4 linked regions of the Saccharomyces cerevisiae S288C genome follow. Changing the gene in region 3 together with the main gene of any one other region gives a genetic interaction. Each region holds a gene or a part of one and is shown on either strand. Other genes may lie near its edges.

Region 1 (7,843 bases), on a different chromosome or scaffold from region 3:
TTCTAAAGATTTGCCTGATCTACTTGTAATGCTTTTGACATCTTGCAAACAGACACGAGTTAATGCTTTCGTTAAATCCAATGCACTAGAAACTAGATCATGAGGATTTTGCGAATGTTGTCTATACTTTTCTAAAATATGCTTACCACGAAGAACTCTTTTTGAAGAATTGGAATTTACAAGGGCTGTGATATACCATAAAATATGAGAGGGGTATTCAACAGCCAAACTTAGCAGTATGTGCATTATTATCTGGGCCGATGATTGATGAGAATGTAATAACCTAGATAACAACTGAGTCAAAACAAAGTACCAAATATAAGTGGGACAATGCTGCAGCGCTTCTTCAACATGACTACATATATCTTCCGTAGCCTTACTCAGCATTTCCTTTCTGTTTCCAGGAGCTTCAGAAATTGATGCGGCCGCAATATCTAGCCAAAACGTGATAACTTTGGGCAAATTTTCTCTTACTTTAGCAGTGTTCTTTTCAAATGCCAATAAAAAGTAAGATATTGCCCTGTACTCAAAACGACCATTAGTAATATAACCCTCTGCTTTTTTGCGCTCAAGTAGTCTACTATAGTATAAGCCAATAGAGTAATATGGTTTATCCCATTTAGAATCAATCTGAAAAATATCCTGATATTGTTTAATAATTTGTTCGGACGCTGAATTGTTCGAAAGGTCTAACCATTCAGTAAACTTTAATAGCACGGCGGCACGATCGCGAGCATTAACCGAGGAATTTTCTTGATACTTTTCATGTATTTCTTGCACTATCTTTAAGGCTCTATCATTCTCACCTTGCTTCCATAGTATTTCAGCAAACTCCAACTCTGCCTGAGGCAACCGCCTTTCCAAACAATGCATTAATGATTCGGAGGCTATATCTAGCCTAGCGTTGTTTCTCGCCAATTGGGCTAAAGTGAAGAATGTTTTTCCTAAGTCAGCGTCTGCTTGTTCATTCATTTTCAATTGGTCAAATGACTTTCTCATTGACAATATGTAATGATTTGGCACGAAGTCAGCCCCAATACGTTCCATTCGATAATCGAGTATGGTAGTGTTACTTTTGTATTCAAACTTATCTTTCGCAGAAGATAAAAAACTGAGGTCATATAAACTGTGTAATTTCATCAATAAATTCTGTTTCTTTAGCAGCGTCGTCTCTTTAGATGACGTTATAAAATTTGTTCCGATAAGCCTAAAGGAATTGTGGATGTATTTTTGAGTCCTTAATGGATCCTCGTTTGAGATGGCAATTAAAGCTTTCGCAATATTGTACTGCAAAAGTACTTCTCTATCGTCAATATTTCTTAAACTCTCTATTTGTTCTACCCAATTTTTCAAAGTTTGAACATTGCCTTCTAGATTTGCAGCTTCAAGACCTATGCTGTACCATTCCTTCACATCTGGAGACAAAGAAATTTTTCCGTCTGAAGAATGGAACGAAGAGTTCGATATTATTTGAGAATACAATTGGTGGTCATACATAGACTTTAGCATCCTGGTTGTAGTTTTGGGGTCATCTGAAAATTTGCCGAGGACATTAAAGCAGTCTTGTGCGAGTTTCCAGTTTTCAGAATATTGCAATTCTTCAATTTTAGAAACCAAGTTTCCTGTAGCAAAGGTTCTCAGTACACCATCGAGTGAGTCAATGTCTCCTATTTCTTCGTATGTGATTTGTAAATTTTTCAGTAGTTGTCCATTTTGGTTCTTATCGTGAGGATTCTGTCGATAGCACTGTTCAAGGTATAGAGCAGACCTTTCAAAAGAATCCGTCTCTAAGGAGCGTTGAGCTAGCAAATCTGAAGGGGTTGTTCGCAAAAACTCATCTATTCTCAAAAGCATGTTAGTTGTTTTCGTATCTTTAATGATAAAAGTGCCGTGTAGTTTACTGTAATTTTGTTTAAACTCAGTTGCCCATTTTTTGCAATATTCGAAAACTCTGAAGATGGATTCATAGCACATTCTTAACGAATCCACTTGCAAGTTATTCATTCCTTCCAGATTGCACGTGAAAATGCTGTCAAATTCAATAATAATCCCGTTTAAAATATCAGCGTATGGAGTTCCTTTTTCTGCCTTGATAATAATGTCCAGAGAAATATAAGGTAGCAAAAAATTTGATAGTGAGCCATCATCTTCCCTAATCAAAGAGGAAAACACGTGTAATGGATGATTTTCTGTTGTACCTGTTTTCAATAAATCCAATGTAAACCTTTTCACCCAAATTTTGTATCCTTCCTTGAAGTTATTAGAAGGATATTTTAGCGGGACATATTCTTTCCATGATTGCGCAAGATACAAGGAAGATAAAAGCGGATAGATGGTTGTCTTGGAGACAGAGTTAAACTTTTCCCATAGTTTGGCTTCATTTGGATATAATTCTTTATGGTTCATATCCCATGACTCTGAACTTAGCCCGCAATATTTTAATGATTCCTGTATGACAAGGGCAACAAACAATTGCTTGCTGGGATTCTCACTTTGCCAAAACGCAGGAACGAGGATATCATTTATGACCCATATCAAGAACTTAATAGTTTGAACACTATCATTCAAATCATAAACTTCGTTTTCTGAATATGTTGTTCTTTTAAACTCATGCTTTGTAACGTCTAAAACACCAATCATACTGATACATTTGGCGCACTTCTCGCATAGGTCCTTGTCTAAATTTCTAAACTTATGAGAAGTGTCTAATAAAGCACCCAAAACTAATGTTATATCAGAAGTTTGCCCAACCTTCTTTGGTGTAAAATCAATCGATCTTTCTGTCTGCTTTCTCCGAAGATATACCTCTATATCGTCTAAATTTTGGTTTATGACATACTTGTTACTACTTTTCAAGTTATTAGCAAATATGGGTATAAGGTCCGTGGTACTTCTTATTTTATTCACCATTCTTGCAAATTGGCCATCACGAGCTAAAATACCTAATTCAGGCTTGCCTACTAAAGCCAAAGTAGTGTAAGGTTTTAATTTCAAAATCAGGTCCGATTTCTCTTTGATTAAGGTATCCAGTATACTGTACACTATATTTCGAAGTTTTCCGTTGAACTCAGACCACTTTTGAAGTATGAATGCAATTAAGCTATCTATAACAGTAGAGAGTTCTTCATCATTTAGATGGCGAACTAACAGATGCCAACATCTAAAGGCCTCGTATCGAACTTCCTTAAGCCCAAGTCCTGTTTGCAAACAAATACTAATCTGGGCTAATGCGGAAATTATTGATTTTTTGGGGGCATATATGATAAGAAAAGAAATGCCATTGATAACCCTTAACTTTTCGTAGTAAGTGGTGCGGCCTTCAACATCATGTATGTCACTCGAAAAAACTTGGAAAATACCTAAGATATTATCCTGTAGTTTCTTTTGGAACGCTTGTTCCTGATCATCCGTCCAGTTATTGATATTTTTGTACTTCGAACCATGCCTTTTGTCTTTTTCAAAATTGGTGATTAAAAATCGCAAAGAGCATAAAATCATATTAGCATTCTCGCTGTCACTTGCATCTTTAGTAACGCTGTTTTTGTAGAGCTTCGTTATTTCAGCTAAAGTTTTATAATCGGGAAGGTATGCAGTTATATATCCTTTGTCAAAAGTTGGAGCCCTATTTAAAAAAAGGGTTTCCAAGATATCCAAAGAAAATAATCCGTGTTTTACCAAAGCTACGGCAAATATTTGCCTACTGTTTTTTTTCAGTAAATTAACCTTCATTTGGTTAATTAAACTTGTATCGCCATCACACATAATCTTAGCAATTTCACTTAGCACATCGCTCTTATATTGAATAATTGCATAAGGGATGATATATCTCTGGAAAATATCGAGAATTGTTTTTGAAGAATATCCCAATAATTCTATTAAATTTTGAAAGCCAACTTTTCTTTCCACGAGGTTTTTTCCCAACTGTCTTAGTAATACAGGTAAAATAGGCGATAGTAATTGATATGGTGTTTTCTTTAAAATTTTGGCCATATTTTTAATTTGCAAAGTCATCATTATTCGTAAACTATAATCATCAGAATTGAAAATATCAATCAGTTTCAAAAGTAGTGTATCAAATACATCATTAGAAGTCGTCAATGTTAATTGTGTCCAAGCAATGACTAAATTTTCTTTCACCACTGGCAATTTTTGAGATTGTAGAAACTTTATCAGCGTGGCAGTGTGTTCATCTTCGGAATTATGAGAGTCTGATATATTGAATAAAGGTATAATTCTAGTACTTAATAAACGTAGGTATCTGTTAGAATTCATAAAGCACTTTTGTACCAGTTTAAAGCTCTTATTGATTTGACCGTTTCCATCTGTAAGTTTTGGAGGTTGAAAGTGTGAAAATATCCTATGTAGAGAAAATAAGATGCCACTTAACAAAGATTCGCTAAATTCATCTATATTTGGGTGAGATAGAAAGTTTGAATGAAGTATCCTGAAGATTTCTGATTTACCCGCAGCCTCTGGTCTATTTGGATTTATTCGCACGAAAGGGTTGCCAGTTTTCTCAATATCGCATAAATGACAAACATACCAATTATCCATATCCTTTGTGGAATTTGGCAGAGTGCCGGAAAACTTCTCTGATTCTAGACAGGCTAGACGTCCGAGAATTACAGTCCATGATGTTAGCCTTGTTATATTGTTTGTCTTGAAACAAGTTTGAATGGATACAGATGCTTCATTTAAAATTAGCTTGAAATCGTTTCCAGCTCTTTGAAAAAATCCAGGACTTAGCTGGTTCACGCGGTATTTGAGCAAAGTTCCTCTTTCTGTCTTGTTAAACTTCTTTAGTACTAGCAACCTTAGCTTTTCCAGCTGCTTATATCGATCATCAAAGGGAGAAGTGACATTTTTCAAGCTCGAGTCCGGCTCCGATTGGTATACCCAGATGTTGAACTTATTATCGTACTTTAAAGCTTCAACAGGTAGGGACCTTCTTTTCAAATCAAAATATACAATCGAGAGAGCTTTATTAGTCAACTGCGTGAACGGAAAATGTTCACTTTGTGAAAAATCTGCCCACTGGTCAATTGGGAAGTGGTCTACAAAGCATTTTGAGAAATCGTTAGAAATGCAAAGAGAATATAGTCGAAGAATTCCTTTGGCCATAGTGGGGTCATTATCCAAGAGCCCATACTTGTTATCCAAAAAATGATGCATAGTAGTCAATACAAACTTTAATTGTTCACAACAAACTAACGCTGGGGCATCCAGGGCTGTGGAAATTGTTCTATTGCAAACATAGTCCACAACTAGAGAAATATATTTGAGTTGGATTTCGGCATATTCTAGTGCTGCTAGTTCGCAGGAATCAAAGACGTAAAGAACAATCCTGATTAATCGTTGGAAGTTAAAGTCAAATTTCGTGAACCCCAAAGAAGAATCTAAGAATGCTATAGAGTTCCCAAAAGTACTATACTCCGAAGTGAACCAGTATAAAAGAATGTATAGACCCTTCAAGGTGTCATAAAATTTGAGAAGCTCAGTCTTGCCCAACAAGACTTCAGTCAAGGCCTGTTCGTAAAGATTCATGGTGTTCTCAAAATGTGCAGTAAGCTGAAACTTAGCAGGTTTTCCGTAAAATTCGACACATGCTTTGCACCAGCTGCCTAATTTTCGCCTCATAAACCATATTCTGTGGTAATTATCATAGTTCAGAACGGATATGTTGAGGAAATCATCTATCAGCCTTTGTATCTCAAAGTTCCCGTTGGAATCCTTCATAACAAGCAAGAAGGGGTTGTACTCCAACAATAAGGCAAGGGCGGAAACTGTTTTCGAAAATATAGTATCATTTTTCATGATATTGTTCCTTCTTTGATCTTTTAGGTTTCTTATGAGGGTGTTCAGGATCTTTAAACTCTTGGCGTACTCCTGAGAAGAAGATGGATCCGTGGGCACTTTTTTAATCTGCACCTTTGAATCCACCCCCGAGTTCAGGTCTTTTATTGCCAATATCAATTCGTCAAGATATTTGACGTGTGATTCCATGCAGTCTTGTGGGCCTTTACGCGGTGTATGTCGTTCTTGTTGTCCAGCCTCACTTTGTCTTCATTAATCATCTCTCTTCAAAATTGTCCGTCGGCGGGTATTTTTTTCTAGTTGACTAGTTTTGGAGCGTGCGTTCCATCTATTTGATTTATAAGGGAAAGAAGAAATTTATTTGAAGGATATTCACTATATAAATTTTATTTGTATTCTAATGCTTGTTGGTGAAAACTATGATCCATAGTTTTTTTTTTTTTTGTTTGCTTGTTTGTTTATTCTTTATTATGATAAGTACATAGTATGCTCCATATAGTTATGGAGCCTTGAAAAGGAATTCAATTTCAGTAATTAGAGTATATCAAAGCTAGGAGATTTGGGGTGGAACTTGCATATCGTTCGAAATCGATTGTGTTTGATGTTGCTGTTGTTGTTGTTGCTGCTGTTGCTGCTGTTGCTGTTGCTGTTGAGCAGCAGCGGTCGCTGCCCTCAGCTCGGCCTCGTAGTTCAGCGGCCTTTTGAATAGCAAAATGTGTGGTTCTGGCGCATGGCATTCATAATGTTCCCACCCCAAAGACTGTGTGATGCCGAGGCCTCTCCATTCGTCTTCTGTTAATATACGCAGGGTCCCCACTTCCGAATTGAAGTAATCAGATGGGATAACTTTTAGCATGGCCTTAGGTAACATCACATGCCTGTACTCATAGTTATCGTCTGAGTACCGCGGAGAATAGTGAATGGAATCTTGAAACTCCAACACGCGTGCTCTTTCTTGGTCAGTAAGCTTTCTGCCTTGGAAGGCGTGATAGTGATGGTACATAGTACTGTAAGACGAGAGTAAGTGCGTGTCAATCTAGTTGTATCCAACGCGGCCAGCAGTTCCAAGAACTTACGACAGAGTTGTAATGAATGCTACTGATGTCTGCTCTACTGCCATCCGCTGTCCTTTCATGCATAAAAGCTCCATTCTTTATTTATCTCATACCACGAGAAAAAAAAATCACCTGACATATTTTTATAACCCGCCTTTTAGACCCTAAAACAGATCTCAGGGCTCGAGTACTGTTTTATCTGAAAATTCTTCGAGCCCTCGTTTTGCACTGAGCTAAACCAAAAGAAAAATAAACAATCACAAATGGAACCCGAAACAGCACGCTGCGCAGTGTTTTTATATTTTTTTGAAACAAATGGCTTTATACAATGTGTATGTGTGATAGAAAAAATGGTATATTTCGAGTGACTTGTGATCCTATTCCCAAGCCCTATAGGAGCTATTTCAAATTGCGTGTGTGAAAGCGTGTGTGTGTGTGTGTGTGTGGAATTGTGCGGACGTTCCTCTTCTTTTATACATATAATTTTTATATATACAAAGGGTTCAGTTTGCATATGCATAGCAACGTATTTGTTGGTGTCAAACCAGGCTTTAATCATAAACAGCACAGCAAAAAGTCACGTTTCCTAGAAAATGTCTCTAGTCATTCACCAGAACTGCCTAGTAACTATGATTACGTTTTGCTTCCTATAACAACGCCAAGATATAAGGAAATAGTTGGGCAAGTTTTCAAAGATTTCCAAAGACAATCCATACAGAACTGGAAACCGCTTCAAATTCCTGAACCGCAGTTGCAGGATATCTGTATACCCCCGTTCAACGTCAAGAAGCTAGACAATGACGATACGCCGTCTTACATAGGGCTGTTATCCTCTTGGCTGGAGCTGGAGAGTCGCGATCCAAATGTAAGAGATCTTGGCTTAAAGGTCCTTCTAAACGAATGTAAGTACGCGAGGTTTGTTGGAATCAATAAGCTAATATTGGCGCCTCCACGGGACCTGTCCAACCTGCAAT
Region 2 (6,859 bases), on a different chromosome or scaffold from region 3:
TCGTACACTGCATTTTCTAGACTTACACTACTTTTAAGAGCTTTAAAGACGAACGAGGAAAGTGCCAAAATGATTCTACTCAGTGACCCCACGATCACTATCAAATCGTACCATTTATGGCCTTCATTCACTGATGAACAATGGATCACTATCGAATCTCAAATGAGAGATTTGATTTTGACTGAGTACGGCAGAAAATACAATGTCAATATATCTGCCTTAACTCAAACGGAAATTAAAGATATTATATTGGGTCAAAATATCAAGGCACCATCTGTGAAGAGACAAAAAATGGCTGAATTAGAAGCTGCCAGGTCAGAAAAGCAGAACGACGAAGAAGCTGCAGGTGCATCAACTGTTATGAAAACTAAAACTATCAATGCGCAAGGTGAGGAGATAGTTGTAGTAGCTTCCGCTGATTACGAAAGTCAAACGTTTAGTTCAAAGAATGAATGGAGAAAATCTGCAATTGCTAATACACTATTATATTTGAGGTTAAAAAACATTTATGTTTCGGCTGATGATTTCGTGGAGGAACAGAATGTTTACGTCCTTCCAAAAAATTTATTAAAGAAGTTTATTGAGATATCCGATGTGAAAATCCAGGTGGCGGCCTTTATTTATGGTATGTCAGCAAAAGATCATCCGAAGGTGAAAGAAATCAAGACTGTTGTGCTGGTACCTCAATTAGGCCACGTAGGATCCGTTCAGATAAGCAACATCCCTGACATCGGAGACCTTCCGGATACTGAAGGCCTTGAACTACTCGGTTGGATCCATACCCAGACAGAAGAACTTAAATTCATGGCTGCGTCTGAAGTAGCAACTCATTCTAAACTTTTTGCGGATAAGAAAAGAGACTGCATTGATATTTCAATTTTTTCCACCCCGGGATCAGTATCATTAAGCGCTTATAACCTGACCGACGAAGGTTACCAATGGGGTGAAGAAAATAAGGATATAATGAACGTGCTATCGGAAGGGTTTGAGCCTACTTTCAGCACGCATGCCCAATTACTTCTCTCTGACCGTATCACAGGTAATTTTATAATTCCATCTGGAAACGTTTGGAACTACACATTTATGGGAACAGCATTTAACCAAGAAGGTGACTACAATTTTAAATACGGCATTCCTTTGGAATTCTATAATGAGATGCATCGTCCAGTACACTTTTTACAGTTTAGCGAATTGGCGGGGGACGAAGAGTTAGAGGCCGAACAAATCGATGTATTTAGCTGAATATATTCCCCAATAAACTGGAATCTGTTATTTCATAGATATATATGTAAGTATAAGTTTGTATGTATAATATTCAACGCATTTTTTATGCCCGTCGTAGTTGCTACCTACCACACGATGATGTATTATAATTTCGGAACTACTTCAAAGCTACGCTTTCCGCACTATGAAAAGCTATAAGTATGTGAAAATTGGTCATTGACTGTGATTCTATTTCAAAAAGTAACCAAAGGAGATAGACATCGTTCGGACAGAAAATGGTCCGTTGTCACTCCCATTCCATTATGTCCTTCATATAGAAATTGGATATTCTTGTTTTCATTTCGCGCAATAAAGCAATTCCGTGCGGCAGAAAGAACTTATATATATTTAACTGATCTTACGCTATTTATGGCAAAACTTGTGTTACATTTTTGAAGATAAAGTTACAATCATTACGGCAGCCTCAAAACAAAATTGGGAGAAAACATACTCAAGTGAGTACTCATTTTGTGCAAGCAAACACTGACAATTGAAGAGATCGTCAGGATGCCCGGAACGCCACAGAAGAACAAGAGGTCTGCGAGTATATCTGTTTCACCTGCGAAGAAGACAGAGGAAAAAGAAATAATACAAAATGATTCAAAGGCGATATTATCTAAGCAAACTAAGAGGAAAAAAAAGTATGCTTTTGCTCCTATAAATAACTTAAATGGGAAGAACACCAAGGTATCCAATGCAAGTGTCCTAAAGTCAATAGCCGTTTCACAAGTACGAAATACATCAAGAACAAAAGATATAAACAAAGCAGTTAGCAAGAGCGTAAAGCAATTACCAAATTCACAAGTTAAACCGAAACGGGAAATGTCTAATTTGAGTAGGCATCACGATTTCACTCAAGACGAGGACGGCCCCATGGAAGAAGTAATATGGAAATATTCACCTTTACAACGAGATATGTCCGACAAAACAACAAGCGCTGCCGAATACTCTGATGACTACGAAGATGTCCAAAATCCCTCTTCTACACCTATAGTCCCTAATCGACTGAAAACTGTTCTTAGTTTCACAAATATCCAAGTACCCAACGCTGACGTAAATCAACTCATTCAAGAAAATGGAAATGAGCAAGTGCGTCCTAAACCAGCAGAAATATCTACCAGGGAGTCTCTCCGTAATATAGATGATATTCTCGATGATATAGAGGGCGATTTAACTATAAAACCGACGATAACGAAATTCAGCGATTTGCCATCTTCACCCATCAAGGCACCCAACGTTGAAAAAAAAGCAGAGGTGAATGCAGAAGAAGTAGATAAAATGGATTCAACAGGAGATAGCAACGATGGCGATGACTCTTTGATAGATATTTTAACTCAAAAGTATGTTGAGAAACGCAAGAGTGAGAGTCAGATAACAATTCAAGGCAACACCAATCAAAAAAGTGGAGCCCAGGAAAGTTGTGGGAAGAATGATAACACAAAATCGAGAGGAGAAATTGAAGATCATGAAAATGTAGACAATCAAGCCAAAACAGGCAATGCATTTTATGAGAATGAAGAAGACAGTAATTGCCAAAGAATTAAAAAAAATGAAAAAATAGAATACAATTCTTCAGACGAATTTTCAGACGATTCACTAATTGAACTATTGAACGAAACTCAAACACAAGTGGAACCTAACACTATTGAACAAGATTTAGACAAAGTGGAGAAAATGGTCTCTGACGATTTGAGAATTGCTACTGATTCCACTTTATCCGCATATGCTCTCAGAGCTAAGTCTGGTGCTCCAAGAGACGGCGTAGTACGATTAGTAATAGTAAGCTTACGTAGTGTTGAATTGCCAAAAATTGGAACGCAAAAAATACTAGAGTGTATAGACGGCAAAGGCGAACAAAGTTCTGTTGTCGTTCGACATCCTTGGGTATATTTGGAATTTGAGGTTGGGGATGTAATACATATTATAGAAGGGAAAAATATTGAAAACAAACGGCTTCTTTCTGACGACAAAAACCCTAAAACTCAACTGGCTAACGACAACCTGTTGGTGCTAAACCCTGATGTATTATTTTCGGCAACATCAGTCGGAAGTTCAGTAGGTTGTTTAAGACGTTCAATTCTGCAAATGCAATTTCAAGATCCCCGCGGAGAACCAAGCCTTGTCATGACTTTAGGCAATATCGTACACGAGTTATTGCAAGACTCAATCAAATACAAGCTCTCGCATAATAAAATTTCTATGGAAATCATAATACAAAAGCTGGATTCTTTGTTAGAAACTTATTCTTTTTCAATTATCATTTGTAATGAAGAAATCCAGTACGTTAAAGAATTAGTTATGAAAGAACATGCTGAAAACATTTTGTACTTCGTCAATAAATTTGTTTCGAAAAGTAACTATGGTTGCTACACATCAATTTCCGGAACAAGAAGAACACAGCCAATTTCTATATCCAATGTGATTGATATTGAAGAAAACATTTGGTCTCCAATATATGGTCTTAAAGGGTTCCTAGATGCAACTGTTGAAGCTAATGTTGAAAACAATAAAAAACACATCGTTCCTTTAGAAGTGAAAACTGGAAAATCCAGAAGCGTTTCATACGAGGTTCAAGGCCTTATTTATACACTTCTGTTAAATGATCGCTATGAGATACCGATAGAGTTTTTTCTTCTTTATTTTACGAGGGATAAAAATATGACAAAGTTCCCTTCTGTTCTGCACTCCATTAAACATATTCTCATGTCCCGAAATAGAATGAGTATGAATTTTAAGCATCAACTCCAAGAGGTTTTCGGACAGGCTCAATCAAGGTTTGAATTACCACCCTTACTGCGCGATTCATCTTGTGATTCATGTTTCATCAAAGAATCATGCATGGTGTTGAATAAGCTACTAGAGGACGGGACACCAGAAGAAAGTGGCCTGGTAGAAGGTGAGTTTGAAATTTTGACAAACCATTTGTCGCAAAATCTCGCCAACTACAAAGAGTTTTTTACAAAATATAATGATCTAATAACTAAGGAGGAGTCAAGTATAACATGTGTAAATAAAGAACTTTTCTTATTGGATGGTTCCACAAGAGAATCCAGAAGTGGAAGGTGCCTTTCTGGCTTGGTTGTGTCAGAGGTGGTTGAACATGAAAAAACAGAGGGAGCGTATATATATTGCTTCTCAAGACGTAGAAATGATAATAACTCGCAGTCGATGTTATCATCTCAAATTGCTGCTAATGACTTTGTTATTATTAGTGATGAGGAGGGTCATTTTTGCTTGTGCCAAGGTCGTGTACAATTTATAAATCCCGCTAAAATTGGTATCTCCGTAAAACGAAAGTTATTAAACAATAGGCTTCTAGATAAGGAAAAAGGAGTCACTACCATCCAAAGTGTGGTCGAATCAGAGCTAGAACAATCCAGTCTCATAGCTACCCAAAATTTGGTCACATATAGAATCGACAAAAATGATATCCAACAGAGTTTGTCTTTAGCGCGATTTAATCTTTTAAGCTTGTTTTTACCAGCTGTTTCACCTGGCGTGGATATTGTTGACGAAAGGAGTAAATTATGTCGGAAGACAAAGAGATCTGATGGAGGTAATGAAATACTGCGATCACTTTTAGTTGATAATAGAGCACCTAAGTTTAGAGATGCAAATGATGATCCCGTCATTCCGTATAAGCTTTCAAAGGATACAACATTGAACTTGAATCAAAAAGAAGCAATAGACAAAGTAATGAGGGCCGAAGATTATGCATTGATATTGGGAATGCCAGGGACTGGTAAGACTACTGTTATCGCAGAAATTATTAAAATTCTCGTTTCCGAGGGGAAACGCGTGCTTTTGACATCATACACACATTCAGCAGTGGATAATATTTTAATAAAATTGAGGAACACCAACATTAGCATAATGAGATTGGGAATGAAACATAAGGTCCATCCTGACACGCAAAAATATGTCCCGAATTACGCGTCAGTGAAAAGTTATAACGATTATTTGTCCAAAATTAACAGCACCTCTGTTGTTGCTACCACCTGCTTAGGAATTAACGATATACTATTTACACTAAATGAAAAGGATTTTGATTATGTGATTTTGGACGAGGCAAGTCAAATTTCAATGCCTGTCGCTTTGGGACCTCTGCGGTATGGAAATAGGTTTATTATGGTAGGAGATCATTACCAGCTACCGCCATTAGTTAAAAATGACGCAGCTCGATTAGGTGGGTTAGAAGAGTCACTGTTCAAGACTTTCTGTGAAAAGCATCCGGAAAGCGTTGCAGAACTGACTTTACAGTACCGTATGTGCGGCGATATTGTAACTTTGTCTAATTTCCTAATTTATGATAATAAATTAAAATGCGGGAATAACGAAGTTTTTGCTCAATCTTTAGAGTTACCAATGCCTGAGGCCTTGTCGCGCTATAGGAATGAATCGGCTAACTCTAAGCAGTGGCTTGAGGATATACTAGAGCCTACAAGAAAAGTGGTATTTTTAAATTACGATAACTGCCCGGATATTATCGAACAAAGCGAAAAGGATAACATTACGAATCACGGGGAGGCAGAATTGACTCTACAATGTGTGGAAGGAATGTTATTGAGCGGCGTACCATGCGAAGATATTGGTGTAATGACGTTATACAGAGCACAGTTAAGATTACTGAAGAAGATATTCAACAAAAATGTGTATGACGGGCTAGAGATCTTGACTGCTGATCAGTTTCAAGGTCGTGACAAAAAGTGCATTATTATTTCCATGGTTAGAAGAAATTCTCAATTAAATGGAGGAGCGCTGCTGAAAGAGCTAAGAAGAGTCAATGTTGCCATGACAAGGGCCAAATCCAAGCTGATCATTATAGGTTCAAAAAGTACAATCGGCTCTGTTCCTGAAATAAAATCGTTCGTGAACCTGTTAGAAGAGCGTAATTGGGTCTATACAATGTGCAAGGATGCACTCTACAAATACAAATTTCCCGACAGATCAAACGCTATTGATGAGGCACGCAAAGGTTGTGGAAAAAGAACAGGTGCCAAACCCATCACATCAAAGTCTAAATTCGTAAGCGATAAACCTATCATAAAGGAAATTCTACAAGAGTATGAAAGTTGACAGGGGGAATAAGAAGAGCTTCTCCATAACAGGAAAGCTATCACAGCATAAAATATCTATGTCATTTTATAAAGTTTGGTATATATAACACGTAATATTAGCATCTGAGGTTCGAAAGCTCGCATGTGTGTCTTTTCTAAAAAGTTTTCGTTTGAACTTTTCCAAAAGCTTCCTCATTAACGAACCAGGATGTTTTTTCACCAAATAATTTGTTAACCAATGCGGTTGGCAATTGATCGTTTTTCAAGTCAAAGATCTCATGCATTATATTTTGTTTGGAACTGCCCTCAGCCACAAAACACAGGGCTTTGGCGTCTTTCAACACAGGCAGAGTGAAGGTGATTCTGTCACTTGGAGGCTTGGGAGAATCGTGGCACCAAGCAACTCTTTTGGTTGTTTCGTTCAGCAAGTACCTATGTGTTTCTCCAGGGAATAAGGAACAAGTGTGTCCATCAGGACCACAGCCCAACAGTACCAAATCAAGCACTTGAGGTACGATACGCTCGTACTCTGCAGCAAT
Region 3 (3,860 bases):
GCTAATGAAGAACAGTCTGAACTCGTAGATAAAATGGCACAACTCCATAACTCATTGGATATGAGGGCTATTTCACTATACTCTGTTGGGTATAAGAATGTTCATCCAGAAAATGCAGGTCTTGATAATGATAGAGGTGAGCCTGAAATTTCAAATTGGGCAAACACTTGGCGTGGTTTATTAGACTATCTATTTTATGTAAAGAAATGGGACCCACAAAGTAATTGTCAGGAAGTGGAAACCCTTGGCGATTTTGAAAAAGAAAATAAAGTTAAATGCAGAGGTTTTTTGAGAATGCCGCCCGGTAATGAAATGACAAAGCATGGACAACCACATGTTGGAGAATATGCAAGTGATCATTTGTCTATGGTGTGTGATTTAGAGTTACAACTATAGATTACTGTCGTGCATAAATATCTTGCTAATAGTTGTACAGTACAACGTTTAGCACGACAAAAGTTCTTAATAATAAATATTACATCAAATACCCTACCCTACCAAATATTGTATGTAACGTTATAGATATGAAGGATTTCAATCGTCTTTATATATTGAATTTCGGCTTTTTATCAAAGGGCTTCTTTTCTTCTTTTATCGAAATGTTATCATCGTTAAATTTTTTGTAGAACATATTCCAGATTTTAACATATTTATTTAGCCTTTGGATGATTGGATCTTCTGACTTCTCAGATTCTAAAATTTTATTTCGTATATAATATAGTTTCCTTAAAGAATCGTCCTCACGCATCATTCTGTCTTTTTTAGTATTAGGTGTCTCATTTTCGTCAAAAGTGGTTTCAATTTGCAACAGGTAATCATGTAAAACTTTGTAATGTTTTTGTAATAGTGGGTTTTTGAAATCGGATGGGTTATATCCATCCCTCAAGTTAAAGTATCCCATTATACTTTGAGTTACTTTTTTCATGTTATCATAATCTAGTTTATGTTCAGAGCCATCATCATAGGATAGTAAACTAGGAAATTTTCGAATTTCGTCTAGGAATGGAACCCTGTAGAGATAAAATCCTTCGTTGTAGTCCTTCACGCTTGAGGGTGATAACGTATATAGTGAAGGATGTGAATTTGATTTAAGCTTCCCCCATAATATTGCAATTTTATCTTTTTTTCTCAAAATTTTTAATAAAGAAGCCAAGGTTCTTATCGAACCTTCATATTTTGCTTCATCTGGTACGATAAACGAACTTTTGTCTATGTTATTGAAATAGTGTATCGATTTGCTCGATGAACGGAACCCAATAATCTTCAAAAACGCATCTTTTTGAGTATAAGCCTCCATTACTATCTGATCTTGACTATCTGATAGATTGATATCGAGGTCACCATAAGGATAAACCTTGACAGTTTTACCAGTAACGTCTTCTCCTGTTATAGGATTTAAAAATTTTCTTTTTGAATATGCTTCTTGTCTGATATCTTCATGCTCATAAACAAGTTTATACCTGACTCCAGCTTTTTCATGGGTATACATAGTGTAACCCTTGACTCCGACTATAAAATTTGTTTTCTCATCCAAGATTAATGGACATTGAAACATTATCCTCTTTACCTCCTTTTTCCTTAGGATTCTGGACTTGATGTATTTAGCATCTATAGGCTTTGTACTTGGACCATCAAATTCAGAATCCAAACCAGTATTCTCATTTGTATGTGAACCCAACTGCAGTATGTCCGAATAAAACTCGTTGTCAAATGGTTTATCGGCATAGCCAATAAAAAAAGTTGCAAAATTCACTTTGTTATCAAATAAATCAATTGTAAGCCTTCTCAATCTTGCCCGTTCATCGATATCTTGCGCCTCTTGTGGTTTATCAATGTCAGTGAATAAGAACACTCTCTTGTTGCTTAATTGCTTTTGACCCGGAATCTCTTCCAAAAAAGTGTCAAGCATGAATGTGAATAATACAGATAAGCGCACTTGCTTTTCACTCCCAGTTTGTTGAAACATAAAATAGTCGTATAGGCTTATTCTCCCCGATGATAAATCTTCTAAAAGATCGTTCAATTTCTTCATAAATGTAGCATTTATATCCCTTAATGGAAAAAGTTCATAGATACCTTCCTTGGCATCCTCTCTGTTACAGTAATAAAAATAGCAACCAATAGCTGTCCCAGGTCTTGTTATGACCAATTGTGACATTAGCTCATCTAGTGATTCCAGAATTTCCAACAATGGTGATTTATACTCTAGATCAGAGGACTCTTTAAACATTGTCTCTGATAGTTCAATGCAAAACAAAATTCCTTCATGGATATCAAACTTCCTATAACCTGTTTCATCCACTTGATCGTTAAGTTCTCCACTATTGCCAAATGCATTAGTGACTGAGCGCATAATATTCCCGTTTTAAAATCAGGCTTAGAGTCACTTAACAAATCATAGCTTTACTGTTGAAAACTAGAACAGTAATACAGAGAATGTCATTTGGTAGCTACCTTAAAGCAATCCCTAATACATGAAATTGAGAATCTTCAAAAATTAAGGTAATCAAAAGTAAAAAAATATCTCCCGGGGGCGAGTCGAACGCCCGATCTCAAGATTTCGTAGTGGTAAATTACAGTCTTGCGCCTTAAACCAACTTGGCTACCGAGAGTCAATTAACTGATAACCATTCAATTATGAGTCCGTCTAATATCATGCTTATTCACAATTTTAATATAAGCAACCTTGCAGAAGTGACCTGTTGTCAAAACGGAATATCAACTTGATTGAGGGGATGATAATTATCCTATATATTCTATAAATATGGATTATACTGAATATTGGGTGAATAATTTGATAATTGTTGGGATTGCATTGTTGATCAAGGCTATATAATATTATGTACACAGAATATATTAGAAGTTCTCCTCGAGGATAGAAATCTCAAAATGGAATCTATATTTCTACATAATAAAATTACGATTATTCCTCATTCCGTTTATATGTTTCATTATCCTATTACATTATCAATCCTTGCACTTCAGCTTCCATTATACTTGATAACTATTTCTCAATCCTTATTTTATGTTTTTCCACCGCATATTATAATATGCCAGTAATATTTATTCTTATTAATGGTCGTTAATTTCACACCAGGCGTGTTTATAACTGAGTAATCACTTTAAATTTGAGCATCCGGTTTTGCACCGTTAATAGTATCATTGTTAATTAGTAGGCAGGTTGTAGTATATTCTAAGAATAAAACAGGTGCCCTTAATCTGTACAAGAGAAGAGTATGAAATATGAATTACATTGGGCATATCGACTATACGCAATATATCAGTAGCTTCGACGATTTAGGTAGGTATAAGGGTTTCCTATACCTGTATACACAAATTTCAAACTTATGGCCGAGCCAGATAGTCCTTTAGCTATGCCTTCCATTACTTCTTGGAAAGCTTGTTGCATTTCCCGTCATATTATGTACGGTTACAACTTTTTTGTTGATTTCCATGCCCGAAGGGAGCTTAGCATAGCCGCTATTACATAATCTTATCATCTTCATCAAAAATGAACTTCTAAAATCATCCCACCACTCTATTGCTCTTCATATATGCGTTGTATGTTTATGTGCTTTGTTCTTATTACTGCTTAACTGTGACTGGGCCCATTATTCATTGTTCATATGCAGGAAAAAAAAAGCATGCTTGAAAATTTTGATCTCTTGATGGATGGTATCGAGGCTATCAAAGAGATATAGATCCAGAGTACAGTTTAGTATATCCGTGATGGATGAAAATATTTATCTTTCGCTATCTCAGATAAATAAAGACATCAGAAAGGAAAACAAGTCCGTAAGGAATCGACTTCAGAGTATTCTTTTAGACAATAAATTTTTGCAAGATCGAGTTATCCCTAT
Region 4 (4,114 bases), on a different chromosome or scaffold from region 3:
CGCGCAGAATGGCTTAGACACCGTACCAAAAACAATTGGTGGAAAAGAAAAACACCATGAAATTCAATTAGGCCAAGCCCACACAGAAGCAGATGGCGAACCTTTGTTGGGGGGAGATGGTAACGAAGATGCTACATCTAGGGAAGCCACACCTTCATTAAAAGTGCACTTTTTTTCAAAAAAGTCGAGAAGGTTAGTGGCCAGATTGAGAGGGTTCACACCGGGCGACTTGAACGGAATATCTGTGGAAGAAAGAAGAAACTTGAGAATTGAATTATTAGATTTTATGATGAGGCTCGAATATTACTCAAACAGGGATAATGATATGAATTGATTGTTAGTATGTAGAATAGATCAAAATGGCAATAAATTAATTACAATAATAAAATCTCTCGAAACAATATATAGTTACGATGACACACTAGAAATCGAGAGAGATATATAATAAGTAGAAAGAATTTTTTTTTTTTTTTGATCAGTGCATCTTAACCCTTCTTTTGTCTCCATTTTTTTCAGTTGGGAATTAGGATAATATCCCTACAGATAGTTGAAATTTTCTTGAACAATCTTCTCCATTCTAAAGGATCACCAGTTTTTCTTTCAAATCCGACACTTTTCAACTCTTCTTCAATCTTTATGATGGAAATGCTACCGCATAATTGATAACCCCCATTACTTTTGGTTTTAATATTTATAATAAGTGGGAAAACGTTATCATAACCCAATAATTCGCACAATCTTTCAAAATTCGCAAAAAGGTCGGGTTTTACTCTAATTTGTGATAAATTCAAGGCTTTCTCCAAAATCGGTAACAAAACATCCATAGGTTGCAACGTGTAGAACTTGGTAAGTTTATTCGGATTAAATTGTAAATGTCGTTTTACTAATTCATTACAATCATTTTCATCAGAATGAAACTGTAAGGCAGCGATATCATAGCTTATGAATTGCGTCCACTTAGCCTCTTGTGTCATACCTGTTCCGCTATTATAGTTCGTATTTGAATCATACGAGGTAAATGCACGTTGTGTATTCGAAACTGTCTGGAAATGCATTGAGTCGTGTTCAAGCTCAGCCAATTCGTTACCAATTGGCTGAGTAGAAATGTACCTATTATTAGAGTTTGTATCTTGAGTGAATTTCAAATAATTTTCGTTACTCAGTGAGACTTTTAAGTGAGAAAACAGTTTCTTAGCCAAGAGTTCAGGGTCATTACAGAGACCATCATCCCCAGAAAATGAAGCTCGACGTAATACCCAAGGATGTAACTTTAAAGCCTTCAATGTCACCCTCTTATTTGGGTCAGGTTGTAAAATTTTTCGGAGTAGGTTCAAGTGAGTAAATTCTATCTTTGACCAGGGTCCCCAGTTTAAATTTCCATCATTTTCAATAAAAAAGACGAAATCTTCGTTCTCTAATGAAGGTAATTCCCAAGGCGTTTGACCAGTCAACAATACGAACAAGAGGATGCCAATAGACCATATATCTGTTCGATCTGCGTAATAACCCTCTTCAGAATATAATACTTCAGGAGCCATGTAGGGTGGAGAACCCCTTTGATCCATGGATACACGTAATGTACCATCTTTCCTCCTAAATTGAGAGGCGAGCCCAAAATCAGCTAGCTTCAGATTTCCGTTCTTATCGAGTAAGATGTTTTCAGGCTTGATGTCTCTGTGAGCAACTCCACATTCTACATGCAGATAATTAATAGCACTAACGAGCTGTTGAAAGTAAAATTGGGCCACGTCGGAATCAACTCCAACGTCAGGCTCAATCTTATCAAATAGATCACCACCATCTGCCATCTCCAGAATTATCCACATATATTCTTTAGAGACATTACAATCGATAAGTCTCAAAACATTAGGATGCTTAGAACACTTCGATTGCAAAACAACCTCTTTTGTGATATCCTTGTCACTGAGTCCCATTTTTTTGCAAGTGGGAACATGAATGAATTTAACAGCTAGAATAATGGAGGGATCCATTTGAAGATGAGCATTTTTAACGCAGGCGAATGCGCCTTGGCCTACTGTATCTCCTAAAACAACATCCTTGATATGGGGTAAAGGTGACACCTGCGAGAGACTCATAGTAATACGTGCTGCCCATATACAGCAACTTATGATATACTCTTATGTTTGAAGCTGTAGTTGTTTTTATTTGCCATTCAATTATTAAAATGACATTTAAAGCCGCTCTTTATTAACTTCGGCAGGCCTCGTAGTAATGTTGAAAATTTAAAAGGGAGCTGGGTTGAGGTTGAAAGCACTTACAAAGAAGCAAGGATAGCTAAACCAAACAGCCGTAACCAAATGTTAGAAGCACTGTTTAGAGATTCTGTGGAAGAAGCAATAAACGATTCCATCAAGGAAGGCGTTGTGCTGGCCGTTTACAACACTGCACGGGATGACCAGTGGCTGAAAAGTTGGTTTAAAGGAGATGATGTCTCATTAGATACTTTAGCGGAACATAGTATTTGGTTGAGGTTGGTCAAAGACACTGAGCAGTTCCAGTTATTTGAGCAAGTATTTCCTAATGTAGTTGTACCCAGTATATACTTGATACGTGCTGGAAAGATAGAATTGATTATTCAAGGCGAGGATGACCGACATTGGGAGAAGTTGCTGGCGTGCATAGGCATCAAAGACAAAAAGGCTGGTGAGAGTTCGTCCAGGGAAACCAATCCAGGTTTGGCTAGAGAAGAAAAGTCATCCAGAGACGTCCATAGGAAAAATGCAAGAGAACGGATTGCTGAGACTACCTTAGAGATCCAACGTCGTGAACAACTGAAACAAAGAAAGCTGGCTGAGGAGGAAAGAGAAAGAATTATAAGACTTGTTAGGGCAGACCGTGCAGAAAGAAAAGCTCTTGATGAAACTCATCACAGAACCCTTGATGATGATAAGCCATTGGATGTTCATGATTACATAAAAGACGCACAAAAACTGCACAGCAGCAAATGCGTCTTGCAAATCAGGATGACTGATGGCAAGACTCTAAAACATGAGTTCAACTCGTCTGAAACATTAAATGACGTTAGAAAATGGGTGGACGTCAACAGGACAGATGGAGACTGCCCGTACTCATTCCACAGGGGCATTCCCAGAGTGACATTTAAGGATTCTGATGAATTGAAGACGCTAGAGACACTAGAACTAACTCCAAGGTCTGCATTATTACTTAAACCACTAGAAACTCAAAACTCGGGGCTATCTGTGACTGGGATGGAGGGACCAAGCCTTTTGGGCCGTCTTTATAAGGGATTCTCTACGTGGTGGCACAACGATAAAGATCCTGAAGTAACATCACAACGTGAGGAAACATCGAAGCCGAATCGTCACGAAGTGAGGTCTTCAACACCTTTATCTGGAGCTGCTTCGTCAAGCTGTTTCCAATACAACAATGTTCGGGAACCAGTTCAATCATCTGCTCATGCATCACCAATGCTGACACCTAGCGGAACCAGGTACCCATCGGAAACCAACCTTACTACGTCACGTTCTGTCTCGCCAAATGTTTTCCAATTTGTTAACAACGATCATCAAGAAGATCCTGAAGACCCAACAACCTTTAATGGTAATAATGTCCATTTAGAAAAGAAAAAGGACGAAGATAAAAAATAAGTAGTTAATGGCTTCAACTCCATTTATGACTAGTATTAGACGTGAATTTTTTTTGATTAGATTACATAAAAAAATATACAGTAATTTTATTTACATGGATTTTTGTTATAGCTGGTATTTTTATATCTTTTTTTCTGTTTCAAATGCATATAGAAAAATTGAAGAGTAAGTTTATATAAACACCTTAATTACGGGATTAAAAATAAAACAAGTTTACAACTATAATCACCGCAAAAGAACTCAGCGAAACAGGAGCAATGAGTGAGAAAGAAACAAATTACGTGGAAAATCTCCTTACGCAATTAGAAAATGAACTTAATGAAGATAACTTGCCTGAAGATATCAACACACTATTAAGGAAATGTTCTTTGAATCTTGTGACTGTTGTCTCCCTTCCAGATATGGATGTTAAACCACTACTGGCTACGATCAAGCGTTTTCTGACGTCTAACGTATCCTATGATTCATTGAATTACGATTACCTT

What was found.
Region 1: of YKU70 (region 3) and MEC1, a mutation in one rescues a mutant of the other (synthetic rescue), as found in Saccharomyces cerevisiae (3 studies listed by BioGRID).
Region 2: of YKU70 (region 3) and DNA2, a mutation in one rescues a mutant of the other (synthetic rescue), as found in Saccharomyces cerevisiae (4 studies listed by BioGRID, with this or other methods).
Region 4: of YKU70 (region 3) and CHK1, a mutation in one rescues a mutant of the other (synthetic rescue), as found in Saccharomyces cerevisiae (5 studies listed by BioGRID).

What each region holds. Positions count from the first base shown.
Region 1 is NC_001134.8:503,828-511,670, reverse strand, and holds the start of MEC1 (protein kinase MEC1), read right to left. Parts: upstream 6,004-7,843; coding exon 1-6,003. Other genes in the region: cyclin-dependent protein kinase regulatory subunit CKS1, read right to left, coding at 6,365-6,817; HSL7 (protein arginine N-methyltransferase), read left to right, coding at 7,384-7,843. UniProt on the Saccharomyces cerevisiae protein: Serine/threonine protein kinase which activates checkpoint signaling upon genotoxic stresses such as ionizing radiation (IR), ultraviolet light (UV), or DNA replication stalling, thereby acting as a DNA damage sensor.
Region 2 is NC_001140.6:424,090-430,948, reverse strand, and holds DNA2 (bifunctional ATP-dependent DNA helicase/ssDNA endodeoxyribonuclease DNA2), read left to right. Parts: upstream 1-1,770; coding exon 1,771-6,339; downstream 6,340-6,859. Other genes in the region: U4/U6-U5 snRNP complex subunit PRP8, read left to right, coding at 1-1,242; 6-phosphogluconolactonase SOL3, read right to left, coding at 6,476-6,859. UniProt on the Saccharomyces cerevisiae protein: Key enzyme involved in DNA replication and DNA repair.
Region 3 is NC_001145.3:836,680-840,539, reverse strand, and holds YKU70 (ATP-dependent DNA helicase YKU70), read right to left. Parts: upstream 2,354-3,860; coding exon 545-2,353; downstream 1-544. Other genes in the region: NGL2 (RNA exonuclease), read left to right, coding at 1-396; RIT1 (tRNA A64-2'-O-ribosylphosphate transferase), read left to right, coding at 3,673-3,860. UniProt on the Saccharomyces cerevisiae protein: Single-stranded DNA-dependent ATP-dependent helicase. Involved in non-homologous end joining (NHEJ) DNA double strand break repair. DNA-binding is sequence-independent but has a high affinity to nicks in double-stranded DNA and to the ends of duplex DNA.
Region 4 is NC_001134.8:747,576-751,689, reverse strand, and holds CHK1 (serine/threonine protein kinase CHK1), read right to left. Parts: upstream 2,097-4,114; coding exon 513-2,096; downstream 1-512. Other genes in the region: DNA-binding protein RIF1, read left to right, coding at 1-334; UBX7 (Ubx7p), read left to right, coding at 2,319-3,629; HSM3 (Hsm3p), read left to right, coding at 3,887-4,114. UniProt on the Saccharomyces cerevisiae protein: Serine/threonine-protein kinase which is required for checkpoint-mediated cell cycle arrest and activation of DNA repair in response to the presence of DNA damage or unreplicated DNA.